2 linked regions of the Saccharomyces cerevisiae S288C genome follow. The gene in region 2 interacts genetically with the main gene of each other region. Each region holds a gene or a part of one and is shown on either strand. Other genes may lie near its edges.

The links. Genes that interact genetically often act in the same process or in processes that back each other up.
Region 1: mutations in ATG20 (region 2) and MHP1 together harm fitness more than expected from each alone (negative genetic interaction), as found in Saccharomyces cerevisiae (2 studies listed by BioGRID).

What each region holds. Positions count from the first base shown.
Region 1 is NC_001142.9:359,353-365,980, forward strand, and holds MHP1 (Mhp1p), read left to right. Parts: upstream 1-1,896; coding exon 1,897-6,093; downstream 6,094-6,628. Other genes in the region: GTPase-activating protein GYP6, read right to left, coding at 1-324; YJL043W (uncharacterized protein), read left to right, coding at 778-1,551; FG-nucleoporin NSP1, read left to right, coding at 6,432-6,432, 6,551-6,628. UniProt on the Saccharomyces cerevisiae protein: Essential for the formation and/or stabilization of microtubules. Binds to microtubules in vitro.
Region 2 is NC_001136.10:256,107-260,433, forward strand, and holds ATG20 (Atg20p), read right to left. Parts: upstream 2,450-4,327; coding exon 527-2,449; downstream 1-526. Other genes in the region: YDL114W (short-chain dehydrogenase/reductase), read left to right, coding at 1-424; TRM3 (tRNA (guanosine(18)-2'-O)-methyltransferase), read left to right, coding at 2,809-4,327. UniProt on the Saccharomyces cerevisiae protein: Required for cytoplasm to vacuole transport (Cvt), pexophagy and mitophagy. Also involved in endoplasmic reticulum-specific autophagic process and is essential for the survival of cells subjected to severe ER stress.

The DNA.
Region 1 (6,628 bases), on a different chromosome or scaffold from region 2:
CCTCCTGATTCCCACTGAGGAGGAAACGTTCGAGTGCAAGACCCTTTTAGGTACATTTGCATTATGATTTTCGTCATAGTTGTCGCCATCTGCCAGCATAGGCACTGGCACCAAGCCGAACTGGTTAAGGTCCAAACCTTTAAAGTTATCAGTTAACAAGCAGTTGTTGTTTTCATCACACAGAAGCAAAGCTTTCCAGAGCCAGCCTCTACTATTTTCTTTAAAGATAGAGTCATGGTAGAGTTCACCTTTCCAAATTCCCTTCTGCACCAGTTGGTCTCTTGTCTCGTAGTGGTCAATCGCCCATTGTAAGACATCCTTCATGGTTGCATAAGCGAAAAAATACAAACGCACGACAGCTAACCCTCTCTATGTATGCCAATTCTCTTGACAACTCTCCCCCATTGTTCTGAAAAAGGTAATGAAATTAAACGCTGCTGTACCGATTATGGAAAACTCAATGGAAAAATTGAAAAAAAAAAAAAAAGGAACTAGTAATGCCGTAGGAGAAGCGGGTAACATAATATCCGGTTTTCCTTTACGACCGCTTACAGGCCTAAACCAGCGCACCATCCAGTTACAATAACACTTGGAGCATGCGTACACGTGTGCGTATTCTACGGCTGGCATGGGCAAAATAAGACGTGGAATTTTTCTGTGGTCAGAACTTTGCGTCAGTAAATAATTCAAGAAAAAATAATAATTATGTCGAAAAAAAAATAGAAAAAAAAGAAAAAAAGAATACTAAAAGGTGAGTGTTCAGGAAAACCGCAAGCCATGTTTGTTGATTATTCCGGACTGGAGCGTTACACGGATATAAATGCATCTTTTGGTAAGTTGGTCAACACTTACTGCTGTTTTCAGCGCTGTGAAGCCATCAGCGAACAATTGGAGATTCTGAAAAGTCTAGTACCAAAGTGCCACGACATTGTGGCACTTACTGACGAAGACTTTGCTAGTGGCCGTACTGCCGGACTGACGCAGAAATTGTTTGCTATGGCGATGACCCTACACCAGATCACCGACTGTATCGACCTCCTGCAGAAATGCAACACCATAATACCCATCGAGATCGCCAACCCGGCTAGCTTTGAAAGCGGCGCCGCGACGGCGCCGCTACGTCAAAGCTATGCTAGGCTCTTGGATGACTGGTCCCACTACATGGGCCCATCAACGGTAAAACACACAGGCTGTACCAACCGACCCAAGTGGAGATTTCCCTGGCAACAGTCACGGACTATCATCATCCCCATGCTGTTTATTGGCGAAACTGCAATGAGCACCAGGGACCTAAGGTCTGTGCTGCATGATTGTGAGATCAGGCACGCGAGCGAAATGCCGCTGCAGCTACTTTGGACGTCGTCACCGGAGTTGGTGTACGCCACACCGCATGTTGACGACTACGACATTTGGTCGCGCTACGGGTCTGATTACAACATGCAGATAGAGGACGAAGACGAAGCATCAAAAGGGCGACAGCGCAAGTGTGTGGTGCAGTTGGAGGCACTGTTGGGTGCGCTACCTACTACGGACCCGTTGTTCCAATGGTAGCCCGGGCCTTTTTTTTTTTCATCAGCTTCTCTTTTAGGCCGTCGGCCCCGTTCGATGTTCACCCGTCCTGGACAGCTTGCTCTCCCCCCTTCCTCGTGCTGCGCGACTGTTTACGTTATTGGCTTATTGTATTGTTTTCGCATCTAGAACGTTCAGGTTCAATTTACGCAACGGTGTTTCACTCGAAGCATCTGGCTGTACAAGCAAATGCTGCGTTCTCATTCTCCTTTATATAACAAGCTTCTGCCTTAAAGCGTTCATATGTACATACATATACACCACTCAGGCACTCGCATAATCGCACTTAAATACGCAAAATATACAAGATAGCCCTACAACTGCTCCATGGACTCCAAGGACACGCAAAAGTTGCTTAAGGAGCACCGAATCCCCTGCATCGACGTTGGATGGTTGGTCAGGCCCAGTGCCTCCACCAGCAAGAGCTCCAGACCAGGGAAATCCGAGTCCAAGGCCAACAGTGTGGCTCCTGACATCCAGATGGACACTGCTCGCCCGCCCGTTTTCGAAACGTCTGTAGACTCTTCCAGCAGCATTCTTTCTTCAAACGATAAGGGACGCCGTCACTCCGTAGCTGCGAGCTTGCTAATGGATAATCAGCGTGCTAACGCTGGGTCTACATCCGTTCCCACAAACATTCCTCCCCCTAGGGGTAGGTCGAAGTCAGTGGTGGAGACTAACCTGTCTAACGTTGAGGCTGACTCCGGACATCATCACCACCACCGCCACCACCATCACACGGAAGATGCTCCTGCACCTAAGAAGGTCGGATTCTTTAAGAGTCTGTTTGGCCATAGGAAGAAGGATCAGGAACAACAGGAGAAGGAACGAGAAAGGAAAGAGCGCTCACCCTCTCCGACTCACGTGGACCGTGGCGCGGCCATAAGAAGAGAAAGAACGGCTACCATATCTGCGGAATCACCACCGCCTTTGCAGTACAATGCTCCACCCTCTTATAACGATACTGTGGTACCGTTAACAAGATCCAAGACGGAATCAGAAGTGTATTACGAAAATCATCCGCAAAGCTACTACCATGGCCGTATGCGCACATACCACTCACCAGAAGAGGGTAAAGTCGACGGAACTTCCCCCGCAGACGATCATAACTATGGCGGCTCTCGACCTGATCCTAGATTAATGGATTTCTTGCGCTACTACAAATCTAAGGATTACAAATTAGCCGCCTTCAAAGAAGGGAACTTTATTAAGTCATCTGCGTCTCCCACAACCAAGAAAAATAGACGCGCTTCGTTCTCATTACATAACGACAAACCACAACCTGCCAAATCACTTGCTCACCAGAAATTTGACGCTAAGGGAAGACCCATTCCGCCGCATCCCGACGCACCCAAATTGCCTTCCGCCTTCAGGAAGAAGCATCCAAGCAACGCATCGATAGTAGACACAGTGGATTCCAATTCGGACGTTTCCTCGTCAGCGCAGAATAATAATCAGACACCTTCTTCTCATAAATTCGGCGCCTTTTTAAGGAAAGTTACCTCTTATGGGAACAACAACAACAACAGCACCAATGCCTCCTCCCTTTCTGCAAACGTCAATAATCCAGACACCTCATCGACGTCCCTATGGTCTTCTAGTTCAATGGAGTTCGACCCTTCAAAGATAACCACCGTCCCCGGCCTCGAGAATATACGGCCCTTGAAACACGTCTCCTTTGCTACGAACACCTATTTCAACGATCCTCCACAACAAATATGCAGTAAAAACCCTCGTAAAGGTGAAGTGGAAGTGAAGCCTAATGGATCTGTTGTCATTCATAGGTTGACTCCGCAAGAACGCAAAAAAATCATGGAATCGACTAGTTTGGGTGTTGTCGTTGGGGGGACCGGGCAATTAAAACTATTAAATCCCGAGGAAGACGACGCAAATGCCAAGAGTAAAGAGGAGATGGCCCCTCAAAAGCAGAACGAAGTGGAGGCACACGACGAGGAGGATAACAATTCTCAAAGGAGAAACATCGTTATGGCCGCTGCAGAAGCTGCTGCAGAGGCCAGAGCCAAAGAGGCACCTAACGAATTGAAACGTATCGTGACCAACAATGAAGAAGAAGTCACTGTCAGTAAGACCGCCAGCCATTTGACCATCGATAAGCCAATGATTTCAAGAAGGGGTGCTTCCACATCCTCTTTGGCCTCCATGGTGTCCAGTGATACCAACGGTACGAACGCAGATGATGAAGGAGAAATTCTTCCCCCACCTTCTTTGAAGATACCTCACGACATTGTGTATACCCGTTGTTGTCACTTGCGAGAAATTCTGCCCATACCAGCCACATTGAAGCAATTGAAAAAGGGCTCGACGGACCCTATCCCCATCTTACAGTTACGTAACCCAAGACCTTCTATGGTGGAAATTTGGTCGTTCAGCGATTTCTTGAGCATTGCTCCCGTTTTATGTCTTTCGTTGGACGGTGTACAATTAACCGTGCAAATGCTTAGAATAATTTTGAGTTCGCTGGTTTACAAACAGCATTTCCAAAAACTTTCTCTAAGAAACACCCCCTTGGATGAAGAAGGATGGAAAGTTCTGTGTTATTTTGTCTCCAAGGCCAAGTCTCTGCACTCTATTGATTTGACAATGGTCCCTTCCATCAAGACAAATGTACAAAAGCCTTCTAAATCTTCTTTGAAGTCAAAAATTCTGAGAATGCAATGCAACTTGGAAAATAGATCCGACATGAACTGGGACCTTTTGACAGCTTCTATTGCCCTCATGGGCGGTTTGGAGGAAATTGTCATTTCCGGGGCCAAGATGAATTCTGCACAATTCAAAAACTTCATCCTCGTTGCTTGTATAGCAACCGAGAGATTGGGCCTCGCGTATAATGGATTATCTAAGAGCCAATGTGATGATTTGGCCAAGTGGATGGTTCAATCAAAAGTGACAGGTCTAGACGTTGGTTTTAACGATTTGAATGGCAAACTTTCCTCTTTCACCGATGCTGTTTTAGGCAAAATACAAAAAGCTAACGAGAAAAACGTCTTCAAATTTTTATCTCTAAATGGGACAAATTTGAGAGTGAACGAACACGACACTTTTGAGAATAACGAGGTCTTAAAACTGATAAGCGTTTTATGTTATTTGGAAAATTTAAAATTCTTGGATATATCGAACAATCCTGCCATCTTCCCCCACTGTGTTCCGACGCTGATTGATTTTTTACCTGTTTTTGTTAATCTTGTCCGTCTGCATATCGACTACAATAATTTAAGTTCCACGAGTGTAGTGATGCTGGCCGAAATATTACCCATGTGTTCAAGATTGAATTATTTTTCCATGTTAGGAACGGAATTGGATTTGGCATCGTCTAAAGCTCTAGCAGAGGCGGTGAGGAAAAGTTCATCTTTGATGACTTTGGACGTGGACTATGTGTATATGCCAGAGAACATTAAGGAAAAAATTTCATTATATGCTTTAAGAAATATTCAAGGGGAGTTGAAAAGGGTTAATAGTGACGATAAAGATATCAAAGATAGCCAATTTTCAAGCCTACAGGACCAACTATCACTTTTATTAACTGAAAAAGCGGATAATTCCGAACATTACAACAAAATGGTTGAGAATTTCATGGCCAAAATCGCGTTGGCACGTATCAAGATTAGTAAAGTGGTTCATGATCTTTTTGATTTAAAACTGAATGGACAATTAAATTTGGAAGGTAAGGAAGCTTTGATTAGATTATGCTTCATAGAGGCAAGTTTGGAAAGAGGCTGTGACCTGCTGAAACAAAGACATAACAACACTTTGAAATCACCAGAGGCCGTCTCAAAAAGTCGGAAAGGGGGAAATCAAGCACAACCCAATTCCGAAAGCTGTCAAAGAATGTTACTAAGCTCATCTATATTACAAAATTCAGATCATATTGCGCTTATGCCATTCGGTAGTGCAATAGTCGAAAAGTCAAGCCCAGATGCAGAAGATGCCGTCGAATTCAGAGAAGGTGACGACTCCAACGTAAATCACGAAGACGTACCAGCAAATGATCAACAATTTCGAGATGAAGTTGATATCAAAAACAAATACTCTATCATTAAAAGAGAACTAGAACACGAAAAGCTTGTCGGTGGTGGCGATTTGCCAGTGGACAAAGAAATCTTAAATCGTGCCGCACAATCCTTAGATAGTGACCAGATAAAGGAATTTCTGTTGAAGAATGACGTCTCTACTATCCTTGGCGTCATTGATGAACTGCATAGCCAAGGGTACCACTTGCATCATATTTTCAAAAAACAGGGAAACCAAGAAGAGACCGCGTTCAGAACAAAGGATGAACAACAGTCCTCCCAATCCAATGATTCAAGTGCTAATGCGTCCCCTACCACTGATCCGATATCCACAGGCTCCAATACTTCTAGAACGAACGATAATGCTCATATTCCTCCGACCGATGCGCCTGGATTTGATAAATTTATGAACAATGCAGAGGAAAATGCCATTGACGCTGCTTATGATGATGTGCTAGACAAAATCCAGGATGCGCGGAACAGTAGTACTAAATAATAAGGGATTTCTCTTAATTTTTTAATCTCTTTTTTGTATTGGGTTTCGAAAATATAATAAGGAGCCCTCAGACATTTACGTATCCTTTCATGTATGATTATTTTAAGTATTTTGTATTTTTTATTATTATTAATGTAAGCATAATGCTTTTGTAGAACTTGAGACAACCCGGACGGGTCCGATGAGTTTTTTTCTTCAAACTTTTATAGAAAATAATAAATGGTGTTAGCACCACTCAGATGTGATATTTGACGTGTCGATTGTGATACCTGAAGACGCTATTGGAGAGCCATTGCAACGCACAGTCCAACAGTAATAAGCTCTGATCGTTTTGAAAAAGTATGTTTCTTTCCATTGGACGGTTGTCTTCCGATCAAAATTTTATCTCCTATACAATTTCTTCCTATTTACTAACGAAAACCTGCGAACCTGTAAACTACATGATTTTTAATATTAGTGAACTTCAATACACCTCAACAAAACAAAACGCCCTTTTCGTTCGGGACTGCCAACAATAACTCTAACACCACCAATC
Region 2 (4,327 bases):
TTCAGTCCTCGGAGAACTGACTCCTGCAAGGCTGACATCGTATGGTGCATCAAAAGGAGCAATGATTGGTTTTCACAAGTGTATGAGCAGGCATTTCAGAAGTTTGTCCACGGAATGTAATAAAACTGGAATAAAAACACTACTGGTGTGCCCGGGAAAAATCAAAACTAATATGTTTATTGATGTCCCTACACCATCTAAGTTATTGGCTCCTGACATCATACCTTCCCAACTGGCACTAGCGATAATCTCTGCGATGGAGCATAATCATCTGCAAACACTAAATGCCCCATATTATGTGAACCTAGTTCCCTTTTTCAAAACTTTGAGTTGGCCATATAGGCATCTCTTAAAACATTTCAGTGGAATGGACCATGTAACGTCAACCAGCCCGCGAGCAATAAATCCGAAGAGAAGTGCATAATATTTTAGTCTATTTAATACATTTGACGTTATTTGATCTTCACGTTGTTTATATATATATATATCAAGTATGCTATAACGCTAAAAAAAAATGCTCATAATACTATGCAAAATCTTGATGTCTTTTGACTTCTTTCCAAATTTCTAAATTTTGACGGGCATAATTTCTCATATATCTGGAATAATGCTTTAAAATTTCTGATAAATCTACTTCCCTTTCTTTAGAAAATTTAGGTAGCTGGTCATTTTTGATGACTTTTGAAATGACCTCCAAATCATTCTCAGTAACTTCCAATGATTCAGACAGTTGTTCAATTTCTTTCTTCAAATTGATACTTGCGGTATGCGGATCTGTTTCTTGATACTTCACAGAATCTTTTACCATTGATGCCAATTTGTTAAATCCATTGAATAGTTTGCCACCATATGATTTCCCACCGCTACCTGTATTATTATTAGGGCGTTCCAGATTAATAGTATGACTTTTAGACATTTCGTTGTCAATTATTTTGTCAACATCCTTATATTCATTGTTTTGCGCTTCCAGCTTCTCCAACTGTGCTCTTTTGGAATTCAGAGACTTTTTAATCATTTCATTTTGCAGGTATTTCAATTTTCTGTATTTGATCAATTCTCTTGCAGAAGTTGCCATATGAACAGATTCATTTAAAGGCTCATTTATATTGTAGTATAGTCTTCCAACTAATTTTTCTAAAGAAATCGAGGACCCCGAAAAGGCATTGCTTAAGTAAGAAAGCTGTTCGGCCAATTCCCCAACTTGAGCCTGTTCATGGGCAAACTGTGCAAATACCTCACCGATTTCATTGTAATCCGATTTCAAATCGTGATAAGTCTTCGTGGTTCGTCTATTATACTTATAAATCCCGTTATCTAACAAGTTCTCATATTGCTTGTAATCCTGTTCAATATTAGTAAACGACTTACTTCTTTCCTTATCCATTTTTTTGTCGTTGGACTCCTTATTCAACAATAACTGTGACGAGGAGCCCGGTATTGGTAACATGGCATGAATTCTAGTGGTGTTAGTGGGATCTAGTGGATTACACTGGAGGATGCTCTTCGGTAAAGATGAAAAAGTGGACGAACTGTTAACAAATTCATGCCAATTATGGTTATTAGGATCCAAAAAATCGGTAATTATAGATGTTTTTGTGATTTCTTCGTTCGTCAAAAGTTTGTTCAAGAACTCAGTGAGCATTCTTATCCTATGCCGTATTAACTTTTCATCACTATTATTGACCGACGCATGTATCACAGACAATGATAGATCTACTGAACCAGAACCTTCTGAGGGCAGCAAATACTTTGAACTCGAACCAGTTATTGACTTACCATAATTCTTTATTGACTGCTTTTCTGGAATCGGCGGTATCAACGTCATAGGAAACAATCTTATCAAGATACTTCTCAAACTCTCGAAATCGCTGTAACGTCTCTGAACGGTAGAATTTTCAAACTGAATAACATAGGCGATGTAGGCTCTTCCTTGACCTTCGGAAACTCTTTTCGCTTCAAGTATGTGTATCCTAGCGGACTTCTTTCTATTACTTACAGAAGGTTCTTCTGACGCAGAGGTCTCTCCGTTCATGGAGTTAATACTTCCACTAAGACTTGTTCTACATGTTTCTGCATTCGATTCTTGGTTTAAAGGCAATAATCCCTCAGAGTCATCCTCGTAATCTTCATTCGGGTTCTTTAGGTTATGGCTTCTCATACCGGGTATTTCTAATAAAGCTGATTTTGTGAATCCTGTTGGCCCCTCCTCCATGAATGGGTTGTCTTTTTCTAACAGGGCTGTGTGTACTAACTCAGTTTCTACTTTGTTATTGTCCCCCTTTCCAACCTTACCCTTTTTTGGGCTCTTTTTTGGCGATCCAACTCCATTCTTAGAAATTTCTGCCTCTGCCACATACTCAGTTGTCCCATGAGGTGGTTCAGCCTTTCCTGTATTCCGAGTTTCCGAATTCAATTTAGCATTTTCTTGGACATCATTTAAGTCTGACATTGTGTGCTGTAGAAGACAACTTTTCTAGATGGTATGTTCAATTGCACCACCAGTATTCGAGCTAGTCATCTCTTCATTTTGGAGATGACTTGCTGTAAATCGATAAATATTGGCTTACTCAATAGCCATATCTTAAAGGGGGCACAATGGGTGAGTTGTCGGGTAAGGGAATGTAGATCACGTGAATGAAAATTCAAGTGTTTTTCGAAAAGTTTCACCATGGCGATGAGCAAGATTGAAACAGCACTATTGTAACTATATAATTGCTAGTAAGCAAATAAGCCAAGCCTTATTAAAATCCGGTGAAAAGAATTGTTTAACGAACGTTACAAACTCTATACCTTTTTTTTACCAGCAAAATGGTTGGAGGTGCTCTCATCTGCAAATATTTACCACGCGAAGAGCAACTAAAGCTTATATCAGACTTGATTCAGAATGACAGCTTAGAAGAGGTGCTGGAGTTGATTGAAACTTCGCCACTGGATATAACGACGGACAGCAACATTGAAACACCAATCTTTGAAAAAATTACTGAGCAGGTCATTGCGTATGCTAGTATAGACGGTGAAGCCAGGGAAATGTTTCGCTCTTCGAGGGCTGAAATGAACAAGGCGCTAAGAACTTCTGCACAATTACTATGTTGTTTACCCAGTGTATGGCATAAATTTCAGGTGTGGATGAGCTACCGGTTAAATGACATCATTAGCGAAAACTATAAACATCTCTTCAATGACAACTTTGGAAAAAAGATTGTACAACCATTTTTCGATTCTTTTGCTGAGGAACAAAACGCTAATATCAAGCATGAAAATCTGCACTTAGATATCCTTAGCCTGCTTCACTACTTAGAAGTTGTATATTTATTTGACGAATGTAAGAATGGTATATCGTCCAAATGCCTAGATTTTATCATTGTTCCATTGTTAGGCTGTAATTCGGAAGAGATTGCTGATTCCTGCTCCAAGTTAATGAGATGGCATATCAAATATTTATCGAAATGCTGCAATACCGATAGTAACTTTGATAAGCTCATTTGGACATTTATCAAACAATTGTACGCTGAAGGCTCCCAACAAGCTTGGAAGCAAAAGAACAGTTTATCTTTTCTCCTAAGATTCCTTTTAGCAGCAGAGTTGTCTCCTGAACTTATTACTTATATAAAGACCGATGCTTATTGGAGGCACATTCAAACAGAGCTGGATAATGATGTGCACGAACACAGAAAATTGGCACTCTCAATTCTTAAATTAACAATTCAAAAACTGTCATCTCATGGTATAACATTGCAAACAACATTTTATAAATGCAATGATCTAGCAAATATCGAGATGCTGGGTAGCTGGAAGAAATTCACCACCTTATATGAAATGATTGCTCTGGACACATCATTGAATCAAATACAAGCGGCCAAACAAGATATAATAAAAATTTTTGATAACGAGCATTTACACCATAGTTGGGGCCTTATCTTGCTTTCTACGGGATTGAAATCATCAATGGAGAGTGTCAGAAAATACATGATGACGTTAATGTTCTCGATTACAAATATGTCAGCATTCTCTTCAAACTTGCCATTATTGACAAAAACTCTTCTTCCAGCTGCAATGTCCGCTCATTATTTTGATGTAAAAGGTGTCAGTTGTCCCCATGGTGAAAAACTTTCATTATTTGTCAATAACTTACTTTCCCAAACAACAGAAGGCATATCAGATATATTATTTGAAATTTTGAAATTATTGGTGGAAAAAGGGACCTCTTTTGACCCTTCTAGGATATACTTGTCCTACGGTATCTTAGTTTTCTTCCAGAATAACAAACAGAAAACAATCAACTCTGACCATTTGAGTCTGATCAGGAAATTGTACGATTTTGCAGCCG